Regions from separate parts of the Mus musculus genome. Here regions 2 and 3 are each reported to be linked to region 1. Evidence: microRNA targets listed by miRTarBase, many of them from high-throughput screens and not tested one by one. Region 1 holds a microRNA gene; each other region holds the end of a gene's coding sequence.

The links. Region 1 holds the annotated microRNA mmu-let-7e-5p (UGAGGUAGGAGGUUGUAUAGUU, at 2,504-2,525, opposite strand). A microRNA usually pairs through its seed, bases 2 to 8, with sites in the 3' UTR of a target mRNA and lowers its output. Matches are read on the target gene's strand: a 7mer-m8 pairs with bases 2 to 8, a 7mer-A1 pairs with bases 2 to 7 and ends in A, and an 8mer does both.
Region 2: miRTarBase lists Col27a1 as a target of mmu-let-7e-5p. Seed matches in the 3' UTR shown: 7mer-m8 at 907-913 and 7mer-A1 at 1,752-1,758.
Region 3: the mRNA of Lins1 is a reported target of mmu-let-7e-5p. Seed matches in the 3' UTR shown: 7mer-A1 at 1,302-1,308.

What each region holds. Positions count from the first base shown.
Region 1 is chr17:17,828,825-17,832,890 of GRCm38, reverse strand. It overlaps Mirlet7e (microRNA let7e), which reads right to left and starts at 2,539; the gene lies at 2,447-2,539. Spaca6 (sperm acrosome associated 6) reads right to left here and starts at 1,916. Exons shown (of 9, transcript NM_001162909.1): 1 at 1,629-1,916; 2 at 752-832. The coding sequence starts at 1,887. It overlaps Mir99b (microRNA 99b), which reads right to left and starts at 2,703; the gene lies at 2,634-2,703. It overlaps Mir125a (microRNA 125a), which reads right to left and starts at 2,079; the gene lies at 2,012-2,079.
Region 2 is chr4:63,332,992-63,337,057 of GRCm38, forward strand. It overlaps Col27a1 (collagen, type XXVII, alpha 1), which reads left to right. Exons shown (of 61, transcript NM_025685.3): 61 at 171-2,000. The coding sequence ends at 317. All of the region lies in intron 1 of Gm52743 (a long non-coding RNA gene), which reads right to left. Among named protein-coding and RNA genes, the nearest start is that of Orm1, 9.5 kb to the right of the region's middle.
Region 3 is chr7:66,714,322-66,718,387 of GRCm38, reverse strand. Lins1 (lines homolog 1) reads right to left here. Exons shown (of 8, transcript NM_152815.2): 8 at 1,132-4,066. The coding sequence ends at 3,735. Among named protein-coding and RNA genes, the nearest start is that of Lins1, 26 kb to the right of the region's middle.

The DNA.
Region 1 (4,066 bases):
AAAGGAATTCTCACATAGCTATAATACTCCTATCTAATATACTTAAGAGACTGTGTGCCCAGCAGTTGGGAGCATCTGGTGTGATTAGTGTTAATCACATCTTTTTGAAATTCATGTCCTCAGATCCTTATGTCTGCTCCATACAGCTACATGTGTATGGTGTTCTCTAATGTCCCAGGAAGAGTCTGGCCCTGACTATGTCTATGTCTTCCCCTGAATGGCTAGCTCCACTCTTCCTATCTTCACTAGCCATGAGCAATGTGTGTGTGTGTGTGTGTGTGTGTGTGTGTGTGTGTGTGTGTGTTTTGTTTGAAGGGATCATATCTTCTATAACACCTATCTCAAAAAAGAACCATTCCTTCCCAATGAGCTCCGACCTCTCTGGGAGATAAAGAGAATGTCTCACCCTAGGAGATGAGAATGTCCCACCTTCAGAGATGACAAGAATGACTCAATCTGAGAGCCTAAGAAATTTACTATCTTACAGGTGAGTAGTTGGAACCCAGGTTGAGAGGCAGGAACACATCCAGGCTTCAGAGTCCTGACAGTGAGAATCCCAGATAGGTCACATGTACTTGACCCCACAAAAGCTTCAGACTCCCTGTGACTTATTTACTTCCCTCAGTTCCTTGCCATCTTTGACTCCCCTCATCTCTGGAGTTTCCTCAACAAATAACCTAACTCAGACAGGTTCCCAGGGTCACTTCCTCAAGATGACTTTCCCCACCACTTATGCCCATAAAACACTCACCCCGTCGTCTAGCAGCCTTCTCCTGAAGAGAAACTGTCATCTGTGTAAATTCATCATGCAGGTAGCTCCTCTCATCATAGTCTGAAGGTAGATGAGACACCATGGCACAAACCTGGTTCCATGGTGTTCTCTATGTCCCACTCATGGCTGAATATCTCCAAGCCCTGTGATCATCCCAGATTCTATAGCCCCAGTCTATTGTTCTATGTGCCCCACCTAGAGCTCTCTCTCTCTCTCTCTCTCTCTCTCTCTGTGTGTGTGTGTGTGTGTGTGTGTGTGTGTGTGTGTGTTTCCCTAACCCTAACCTAAACCTTCAATCTTGGTATCTCTCCATCCATCTAATCTCTCTCTCTCTAGGCCTGTTACCTGGTACCCTGGATCTGCTTCCTCATCTACATCTTTACTCCAACCCCATTGGTCTCTGTCCCACCTATCTCTAGATCACTGTCTCTCTATTCTTCCTGAAACTACTCTCTGTATCTATACCTATGTCCCTCACTTTGGGACTCTGTTCCTGTCTTATCTCTATGTACCTTACTCTCTGTGTGTCTCTCATCTCTCTGGATTGATTCCTAGCTCTCTGTCCCTCTCTCCAGGTCTCTAATCTCCCCACTCATCTGTGTTCCCAATCCATATCCTCTCTCTGAGCAATGCTTCTACTTTTCCATCTCTTTCCCTTACTGTCTTTAGACTCTCTCTGAGGCACTGTTTTGTCTGTCTCCACCCCACTCTGGACCTGTTTCCTTCCATTGTTTCCACCTGTCTCTCTTCTCTGTGTCTATGTCATGATCCTGTACTTGGCTTTTCTTCTTGGAGTAGCTCAAGGAATCTCCTTCCCCTCCCCAGGGCCCTGGTTCAGGAAGGAGGGGCTCCTCACTGATTTTCATGTCTTTGAGATCTTCAAAAGCCCCTTCAAGCTCATTTCTGCACAGGTTTATCTTGGTTTCCTCTCTGCCCACAAACAGCTGGCAGACACGGAGGCGTTCCTCATAGGTAGTGAAGCAGAAGAGACAGGCCCACGTGGATGCCCTGAAGATCAGCAGGAACAACAGGACAATGCTCCCTACTAAGGAAATAAGACCCATAACAGAGGGTCTCCGGGTCTGAGGAGAAGATAGTGACCTTTGTGAGGTCATTGTGGGGGAGGGGGAGCCTGTGATCAGAGATTGAGTTTCAAATGATGGTCAAGCATCAGGCTCCAGCTAGAGGAAGGTTGCCAGGGGTCACCTGAAATCCCTAAATTTGTGGCTGGGCCAGGCGCCAGGCTCCCAAGAACCTCACCTGTGACCCTGGACGTCCTCACAGGTTAAAGGGTCTCAGGGACCCAGAGGCCGGCAGTGTAGCTATGGTGGACCAGAAAAACCCTTTTCCCCAGAGGTGGGAACGGGGAAGCGAGACAGAAACAGATACCCTAAGCCCCAGAAGATAGAAAGGAACCAGGAGATGCCTCAAAAAGCTCAGAAACCCAGTGTCACAGAGATACATTCACAGCACTAGAGAAACAGAAGCTTCTAGAACCCTAGAGACATTGGCATAAGAGACAGAGACAGAAAATTCGAAAATCTCAAGATGGCATAGAGACTGCAAAGAAAAGGGATAGGATAGAATGTGAACAGAGAAGACACCCCAGCTCCTATCAAGAACTCTTGGGCAATGGTGTGGACCTGGGGTCCCCGCCGGCCCCTTCCAGTGCAGGGCGCAGCCTGGGGAAAGCTAGGAGGCCGTATAGTGATCTCCTCGGGTGTCTTCCTCAACTATACAACCTCCTACCTCAGCCCGGGGGGCGCGGCAGGTGGGCAGATTGACAGATGGATTGATGGGAGACCAGAAGTAGGGAGGGTGGGGAGGGCCGGGGAGGTCCCAGCCGCGATGGTGAGCCCCCGACACGGACCCACAGACACGAGCTTGTGTGCGGCGAAGGCCCCGCAAGGTCGGTTCTACGGGTGGGTGCCAGGACCCAGGAGTCCGGGCCCCCGGCCCCCTCCTCCCCAAGGAACCCAGGAATTCAGTCCCAGCCCCAAAATCTAAGCCCCAGCCCCCCTCTTTCAAGGCCAGAGATCCAGACCTCAGCCCTCCTCCCTCAGTCCCAAAGCTTCCTCCCTTAGACTAAGGGGTAGTGGTCACAGCCCTCCCTCCCACAGATCCAGGGAAGCAGACCCTGCCGCCTTGCACTCAATTCTCCTCAGTCCAGACCCAGGGACTCAGTCCCTAACCCTCACAGTTCTCCTCCACCCCATAGCCCTCCCCGGCAGACTCAGGGTCCAACCAGGCACATCCCTTAGAGAAGACAATCTGGTTAGAGACCTGACTTCTGCACTGCAGAAAGGATGTATCCCCGTTTGTCTTGGCAATCTGAGCCCCTTCTGTAACCCCTAAAGGTTTCATATCCCAGGCCTGAGTTAAAGGCCTTCTGAGTATCAGAAGTCCTCATGGGTCTCATGGAATAATCCTATCTTTTCCAAAACCATTCTCAACCTTTGGGGTGATAGCTATGGTCAAGGAATAATGACACCAACCAGGACCCTGTCTCCTCAACACCTCCCAACTCAGAAATGAGGTCGCTCCCAGCACACAGGAGCCCCCAGAGGGGAAGCCACTAGACCAAAGTCAGTTGTCGGCAGGTGGGAGGAGCCCTAGGACCTGCACCCACCCTGAGGCTCTGAGCACAGAACTGGTCTTCTGGGGCTCCCAGGTTCCATGTCCGTCTTCTTGTTTCTTTCTCTCCACCCATTTTTTCTTACCTTGCTCTTTTCTTATTCTCCCTTTCTTTCTCTGTTTGTATCATCCCTGATGAGGTTTTCCTCTTCGCCCATATCTGAATGCCTGCTCCTCCCGCTGTCTCTGTTCTAGCTGACCCTCTTTACATTCACCTCTCTTCCTCACCTCCTATCTTCTATATCTACTTCTCAAGTCTCTTCCTCTTTTTCACAATCTTCTTTCATTTCCTTCCCTGGCTTTGTCTCTCTTTTTCTCTGGATTCCTATCTCCCTCTCTTTTTCTCCTCCCTGCTTTTTTATTTAGTCTAGCTTCTACCCTCCTCCCATCTTCCAGTCTCCTCCCGGGGTCTCTCCCTTTCTCTCTCTCTTTTCTCCTTCCCTCTTCTCCATCCCCTCCCCCCATTCTTCTCCCTTTCTCCTTCCCTCTCTCTCTTCTCTCTCTCCCTCCCCCTTGCTGCTCGGAGCCAGGTCTGGAAATGGGGGTGGAGTGGGGATGGAGTGGGGGTGGGTTGAGAAGGGGCCCTGGGCCGGGGTAGCGACCTGCTGAGGAGGGGGAGGAGAGGCGGGAAGAGGGCGGAGAAGCAAAAGAGGAGGCGGG
Region 2 (4,066 bases), not on the chromosome of region 1:
TAACTAAAAAAAATCAAAATCTAAAATATTCAAAAAACAATTTTTTAAAAATTGGAAGCAGCCAAGCCAGATGTGTCAACTGCAAATCATTGCCCCTGAAAGTGAAAGATGGGAGATGCATTTGGAAATGTCAAGAATCACATTCACTGTCATCTTCTGCCTCCTTACAGGTCCATGATGGCCGCTGGCATCAGACACTGTTCACCTTCCGGACCCAGGACCCCCAGCAGCTGCCCATCGTCAGTGTGGACAATCTCCCGCCTGTCTCATCAGGGAAGCAGTACCGCCTGGAAGTTGGACCTGCGTGCTTCCTCTGACCTCTGACCTCTAGGCTCATCTAAGCCTTGTGGGGAAAGGGAAGAGATGGGGACAGCTGGTCCCAGGAGATGCAGGCCCTTGCCTTAGGATCCTGGTGCAGGTCCTAGTTGTTATCTGCTCAGCCGGAGTTGAGAAGGAGTAACAGGTCTGAGGCTGTCCCGGAGAACCACCCATCCCAGCTCAGCCCCAAGAACCAACCAAAGAGCCAGTCAAAAGCAAGCTGGGTTTGCAGCCCACTCCAGCCCATGGCCTGTTGCCCAGCTCTGTAGACATCCCTGCTCCCCAGCTGCCCAAAGACCCCCTCCCCATTGATGCCACCTCAAGGAAAGGGGGCATGTTGCCAGCTGGTTCCCGCTAGGGAGCTTTCGATGTGCAATATTAGAAAGGAGACATGGAAAAAAAAAGAGGAGGAAAAGGAAAGAAATCTATATATATTATTTAAACAAAGAGAAGGTGTGTTACTATTTTTTTCACTTGGGAGAGGTGAGGAAGAGCAAGAGAAGCTGGGGGTGTGGAGAGGCAGGTCCCCCAGGCTGGGATGCTGGCCCCTAGACTAGGGTGCTGACCCCTGGGCTGGGGTGCTGTGTGCTACCTCCCACTGTGAAATCGCTGGTGCTCACAATTGTCTCTTGTAATGTATGTGATTTTTTTAAGGAGAAAAAGAAACTTATTTAAGATTCTGAAGGTGCTACTATTTTCTGTTGCCACAGGCTTTAAAGAAACTTTCTGAATGGGGCCTGGCCCACTTCTCTTTCTCTCCTCCAAATGAGGAGTTAAAAATGTTACTAGCATAGCCCACCCGTGTAATCCGTTGAAAAGGAACAAAAGGAAAAAAGAAAAGAAAGAAAAGAAAAAAAAAGAAAAAGAAAAAACAAAACAAAACAAAAAAATCCTCCTAGAAACCAGAAGTAGAGAGATTTCTGCTAATTCTGGGCTTTGAAGCGTACGTCTTTTGAGGGGGCATTTTGATGTGGTCCTCCTTGCTTCTGGAGGGACTTGGTTCCCTTTAGAAAACCTGCCCTGGGAAAAGACTTCTTGGTTTTGAGGAAGATCCTTGGTTAGCGATGATCTTGGAGGTGGACTAAGTCCAGAGCCATCCCTGAAGCCAGGTGACTGTCCCAAGGTCTTCCCTCCCGGGAGCCCAACCTTTCGAGTGCAGCCAAACCTTACTGCTTTTACAACATTGCACAGCTGTGTAGAAACCCCGTGTTCTTTCCCATAGGTGCCAATTTGGGTGGGGGAGGAAGGAACAATTACAAGATCCCCATCTGTCTGCCCATGCCACCTAAACAAGTCAGGACTCCAATTGGATTTTGAAGTTATTTTAATTATAGAATTATTTTTTTAGAAGAAAGATGGATGTGATAGTCTATATTTGTGTGTTTCTAAAGTTGTGTCTTGTGGGGGAATTGGATTCCATTTTAGTTATTTAATACCTCACTCCCACCCACCTGCATACTGCTTGTGTGTCCCGGCCTGTCCCGCAAGCCTAGTTGTGCTTTTTGTTGTCTGTTCCCCGTGCCCCCTCCTGTGTCTCACTCTGTCTTCTTGTCACTTGATGTGCATTTGCTGTTGTTCTTTCGTTTCTGTCTAAATGTCAGTGTGTTCAAACCCCCAGAGGGTTCTGTTTTTCCCATTCCCTTCTGGACTTTAAATAAATATTTAAAACTGAGCAATGGAAAGACGAGTCTGTGGTTTGATGCTTCTTCACGGTGCTCAAAGGCAGTTTCTGCAGAAGGTGAGAAGATGGGTGGAGGGTGTCCTGCTGAAGCAGAGATCCTCACTGGGGCTTGGAGCTTAAAGCTCAGGACAATAGAAGTGCTGTCTGCCCAGAGGTCTGAAAGTGGGGCGTCACAGTGTAGGAAGAGGCATTCTCTATCCAAGCCCCTAAGCCTGGAGCAGTCCTGTCATGGTCCCTCCTCTTCCAGCTACACTCCAAACTCAGGGGATGGGGCTCAGGGGTTTGCACTTGGTGTTGAACCATACATTGTTTCTAAATTCATTTTGACAGCGATACTGTTACATCTCATTGTTCTGGGTCAACCCTCCCCAGAATGTTTAGTTACTACAGGTGCCATGAGAGCAAAGAAAAGAAGTAGCTATACAGGGTGCAATTTACTTGGGATCTACTACAGAAATGTGGTCCTGGGTACAGCAGCACCAAGTGAACTATTGTTTGGGCAAGAAGGAAGGGGACGTTCTCGCCACAGGGCCTGGTTTTAAAGCTCCACATACCAGGGCTGGGAAGATGACTCAGTTAGTAAAGACTTTGCTGTCCAAGTGTGAAGACCAGAGTTCAAGTCCCAGACCCACATAAAAAGTCAGACATTGTGGTACACACTTGTGTTTTGGTTGTTGTTGTTACTGTTTTACATTTTGACACAGAATTGAAGTTATATATTTCTTACACTGGTACAGAATTTTGGATATTGATACAGGTTTAATGTTTTCATTGGTGGGGCTGGAGAGATAGCTCAGCGGTTAAGAGCACAGATTGCTCTTCCAGAGGTCCTGAGTTCAAATCCCAGCAGCCACATGGTGGCTCACAACCATCTGTAATGGGTTCTGATGCCCTCTTCTGGTATGTCTGAAGACAGCTTCAGTGTACTCACATATAGTAAATGAATAATCTAAAAAAAGTTTTCATGGGTATAAATCTTTGTATACTGATATAAAATTCAAAATTAATTTTGTTACTCTTAGATGGGCATTGTGTCTGTGCAACTCATTTAAGAACACAAGACTTAGACCCAGTCCTTTTGATAGCTGCTATTACAAACTGTTTAGTATGATTAATTAATACAAGTTGATAGTCATGGCCATATTAGATTCTAATTTAGCTAATTACAATAAAGTGTTTTCAAAGTTATTCAAATAGTAACTAGCTAAAAATAATCAATATTTGACAATTCAGTTCTGCTATATATAGATAGATGGTCTTCAAAGGCATCAGAGATCCACAGAATATGACAGGTAATGTTATTTTATAATTAAAAGATATTTTTAAAAATTGAACTATTTTTATTATATTCAACACAATATATATATTTTTATGCCAATCATAAAAATGGTGGGCATGTTATTAAATGAACATAAATAGATAAATTTTTGTGTTTCTTTGTTTGTTTGTTTGTTTTGTTTTTAGTAGAGCTTTAAAATCTTGGCTCTTACTGTGGTACAAACCCAAAATAAGAACAATTTTTAGACATTGGAGTTCATTGTAATAAGGCTGTATTTCAATGTCCCTCACATCACCAAAGGATTTTACCTCCATAGTAGCTAAGCTAAGAGTTGACAGTTCTGCTGCGCCAAGGAATGAATTGTAGGCTCGATTATTTGGATACAGATTTCCTGCTATGGTCAAAGCTATTTGACTTGAGTGATTGTCATCATTCTCAGCCCACAGGGAACAGGTTACATTCATTTAAGAAATGGTGTGTGTTTTAAGATGGTCTATTCATGAAGTCATTCATCAATGAACAATGGTTTCAATGAACAATGGTTCTGCTTGGAGGGTAGCACAGACATTAGGTCCTCACCTAAGATTCTGGTTCATTGGCTGTGATGATTTTGAAAAGCACTCATCTCAGAAAAAGAGTAACTTATAAGGTCCTCTTCTTCAAAATTGATACAATAATTATAAATATTAAGCAAAACATTCAGTCTCACTCTTTGTTGTTCTCACAAGCCACCTCCCAAATTAATTGTCTACGTTTCTTTTGGCTGTATAAATAATTTTGAAATATGT
Region 3 (4,066 bases), not on the chromosome of region 1:
CATAGAATTAACACAGTGAATCCTATCATCTTACCAAACGCAATTTATAGCTCCAATGCTATTCCCATCAACATTCCAACACAAGTCTTTACAGAGATTGAAAAAGCAATTCTCAACTTCATATGGAAAAACAACCCAGGATTAGCTAAAACAATCCTGAATAACAATAAAAGAACTTCTGGGGGTATCACCATCCCTGATCTTGAGTTATACTACAGAGCAACAGTAATAAAAACTGTATGGTATTGGTATAGAAATAGACAAGTTGACTATTGGAATAGAATCAAAGATCCTGAAATAAACCCACACACCTATGGACACTTGATTTTTGACAAAGAAGCCAAACCACACAATGGAAAAAATGGAAGCATCTTCAACAAATAGTACTGATCTAACTGGATGTCTGCATGTAGAAGAATGGAAATAGATCCATATTTATTATCCTGTATAAAACTCAAGCCCAAGCCTAAGTGGATCAAAGATCTTAACATAAACCTGGATACATTACATCTAATAGAGGAAAAAGTGGGGACTAGCTTTGAATGCACTGGAACAGGAGACAACTTCCTTAACAGAACACCAATGGCTCAGGCTCTAAGATCAACAATTGATAATGGGACCTCATGAAACTGAAAAGCTAATATAAGGCAAAGAATAGAACGAAATGCCAGACTACAGATTGGGAAAAGTTCTTCACCAGCCCTACATCTAACACAGGGCTAATATCCATAATATATAAATAACTCAAGAAATTAGACATCAGCAAACCAAATAACCCAATTAAAAAGTTGGGTACTGAGCTAAATAGAATTATCAATAGAGGAATCTTAAATGGCCAAGAGGCACTTAAAGAATATTCAGTGGCCTTAGTTATCAGGGACATGCAAATCAAAATGAACCCGAGATTCCACCTTACACCAATCAGAATGGTTAAGATCAAAAACCCAATTGATAGAACATTCTGGTGAGGATGTGGAGCAAGAGAACACTCCCCTATTGCTGGTGAGAGTGCAAACTTGTACAACCACTTTGAAATCACTTGGCATTTTCTAAGAAAACCAGGAATAGTTCTTCCTCAAGATCCAGTTATACCCCCAAAATACCCCACTATATCACAAGGACACTTGCTCATCTATGCTCATAGCAGCTTTATTCATAATAGTCAGAAACTACAAACAACAGAAATAAAGAATAAAGAAAATTTGTTACATCTACACAGTGGAATACTATTCAACTATTAAAAACAAAAACATCATAAAATTTTGAGGCAAATGGATGGAACTTGAGAATATCATCCTGAGTGAGGTACCCCGGAGCCAGCAAGACAGATGATATATACTCATTTATAAGTAGACATTCGCCATAAAGTGAAGGATAACCATGCTTCAATTCACAGACCCAAAGATACTGGGTAATAAAGTAGGTCCCAAGGAATGATGTGTAAATCTCACTCAGAAGGGGGAAATAGATAGCCACTGGAGGTGGATGAAGAGAGAAGACGGCGTGAGGAGGGAAGCAATCATGTCAATCAGGTGTGGCAAGAGGTGGGGGGCTGCAGAAGGCTGGGAGTGAGAATGGAAATGGGGGGGTCACTAGTGATTAGCTGGGCCTGGGACAGGAGATGATACTGGGAGTCTATGGGGGTGACCCTAACTGAGATTCCTACCAGACGGGGATAAAGAGACTGAAGAGGCCACCTCCTGTAGCCAGGCAGGACTTCCAGAGGAGGGAGGGGGACATCAATCCACCCACAAAGTCGTCAACACAAAATCTGTCCTGCTTACAAGACGTGCAGGGATAAAGATGGAGGAGAGACAGAGGGAACAGCCACCAGCAACTGCCTCATTGGCTGAGACCCATTCATTCCATGGGAAAGAGTCAACCCCTAACACTATTAATATCCTGCTATGCTTGCAGACAGGAACCTAGCACGACTGTCTCCTGAGAGCTTCATCCAGCATCGGAGGGAGGCAGATGCAGAGACCCATAGCCAATCACCAGGCAGAGATCTGGGACTCTTGTGGAAAAGTTGGAGATAGAAGTGAGCAAGTTGGAGGGGTCAAGGACACCATGAGACCTACAGTCAACTAACCTGGGACCATGGATGTTATGGAGCCTGGGCCACAACCAGGGAGCTTTCAGAGGCTGGACCTAGGCCCCCTACACACTTGTAGCAAATGTGCAGCTTGGTTTTCATGTGGGTCCCCTAACAACTGGGGCAGGGACTGTCTCCTCTTTCTTACTGGTTTCCCTTCCTCTAACTGGACTGCCTGGTTAGGTCTCAGTGAGAGGTTGTGCCTAGTCCTGCTGGGACCAGGTGTCCCAGGGTAGGTGGTAGCCAGGGGGGCTCCCCTTCTCTGAGGAGAACGTAAGGGGCGCTGGGGAGGGACTTGTAAGGGTGTGACTGAGGGGAGAGAAGGGAGGGGCTGTGATTGGGATGTAAAGTGAATAAAAAAATTAAATGTTACAGTGCAACCAGAACTTATCTTGTGTGAGTGTAAGTGAATCTAGGTGGATGTATGTAGGCTGTATGAAGATCGCATGCTGTTTTATAAAGAGACTGTCAGTAGATTTTGGTTTCATGATAGGGGTAGCGATGGGTCCTGGAAGCCATGCCTCTGGATACCAAAAGGTAATTATATATATAAGTACACGAGGATGTAAATGTCTCTGCTCCTGCCCAATACTTTTCTTAAACAAATGGAAGCCCAGTATATTCTTTTCAGTTTTGAGTGGAGAAGTTTCATATCCACAGCATGAACACAATGCATTCTTCTTTACAGGTCTGTAATATTCCAATGAAATGCCTAGTCTTGTCTTTTACAACGTACAATCCTAGTTTTACATTTTTATTTACTTCTATCTCAGTACATTGGTGTTTTATCTGCATGAATATCTGTGTAAAGGTGTCAACTCCCCTGAGGCATTACAGACAGTAGTGAGCTGCCAAGGGGAAGCTGAGGCAAGAGGGCTGCACACAGGAGTTTGAGAACAAGCCAACGGCAAAGAGAAAGGAAGCAGGAACGGCTACCAAGCCCTGCAGTCCAAAGCTTTCCTCAACATTGCAAGGCCTGTGACTAAGACAAATCAAGGTTAAAAATTCAAGTACACACTGACAACACACAGCCTCACCAACATGTCTCCCTAACCGTTTTGACATCCACACTTCTATTTGACTAGGCTTTTCTGCCTTAAGACAGGGTTTCTTCCTCAACTTGAAACTGGATCTTTGGACAAGGAGGAGTAGTGGATGTCTCCGATCAGGGCAGGGCAAATCAAAGCTACAACGAGACAATGTTACTCCAGCTGGAAAGCTATGCTCAAAACAGAAGAGAAAATAACCATGGTAGCAAACGATGCAGAGCGTGCAGAGATGGAGATGCATCATGGATAAGATGTGCAGCGTCCCAGGACATTACACTGCACATCTTGATTTTAAGCTTCTGGCCTCTTGAGCTCAGAAGATAAATCTTACTTAGTTTGGGCTACAGAATATGCAGTCATTTGTCATGGCGAATTCCGTGTAGTCTGAACTAGCATAAACTCTCAGCTGTAGCAAGCTGGGCCAGTTGACCTGTCATGGGATGGTCCTTTCTCAAACACTACTATGCTCCATAAGGCAAAGACCCAGACACGCATGTTTGCAGTTCTTGCTTGTTTTTATTTATCTTAGGTAGACGCTTTCTATCAAGGAGAACAAAGCCGAGGACAGATGCTGCTGTGTTACCCAGGGCTCAGACGTTAACACACTTGGCCTCCACACCTTTCAACAACTTCAGAAGTGCCGCTGGGTTATATGGAAAGAGATTTTTCTCCTGCAAACGGTAAATTGCTCCCTGTAGCTCCTCAAGGCATTTCACTGTACGAAGAAACAATCCCACTTGCCAGACAGTCCCGTCTGCAGCAACTCTACCCTTGGCAGAGAAGGGAGAACTGGACTCTGCAGAGAGCAAAGGCTCCAGGCTATGTTCCTTTTGCTCCTCCCATGTCCTAGGCAGGCCCTGGATCTCCTCAGACCTTTCTTGACATAAAGATGTCTGTTTGCTGTTTGCTAAATGCTCACTTG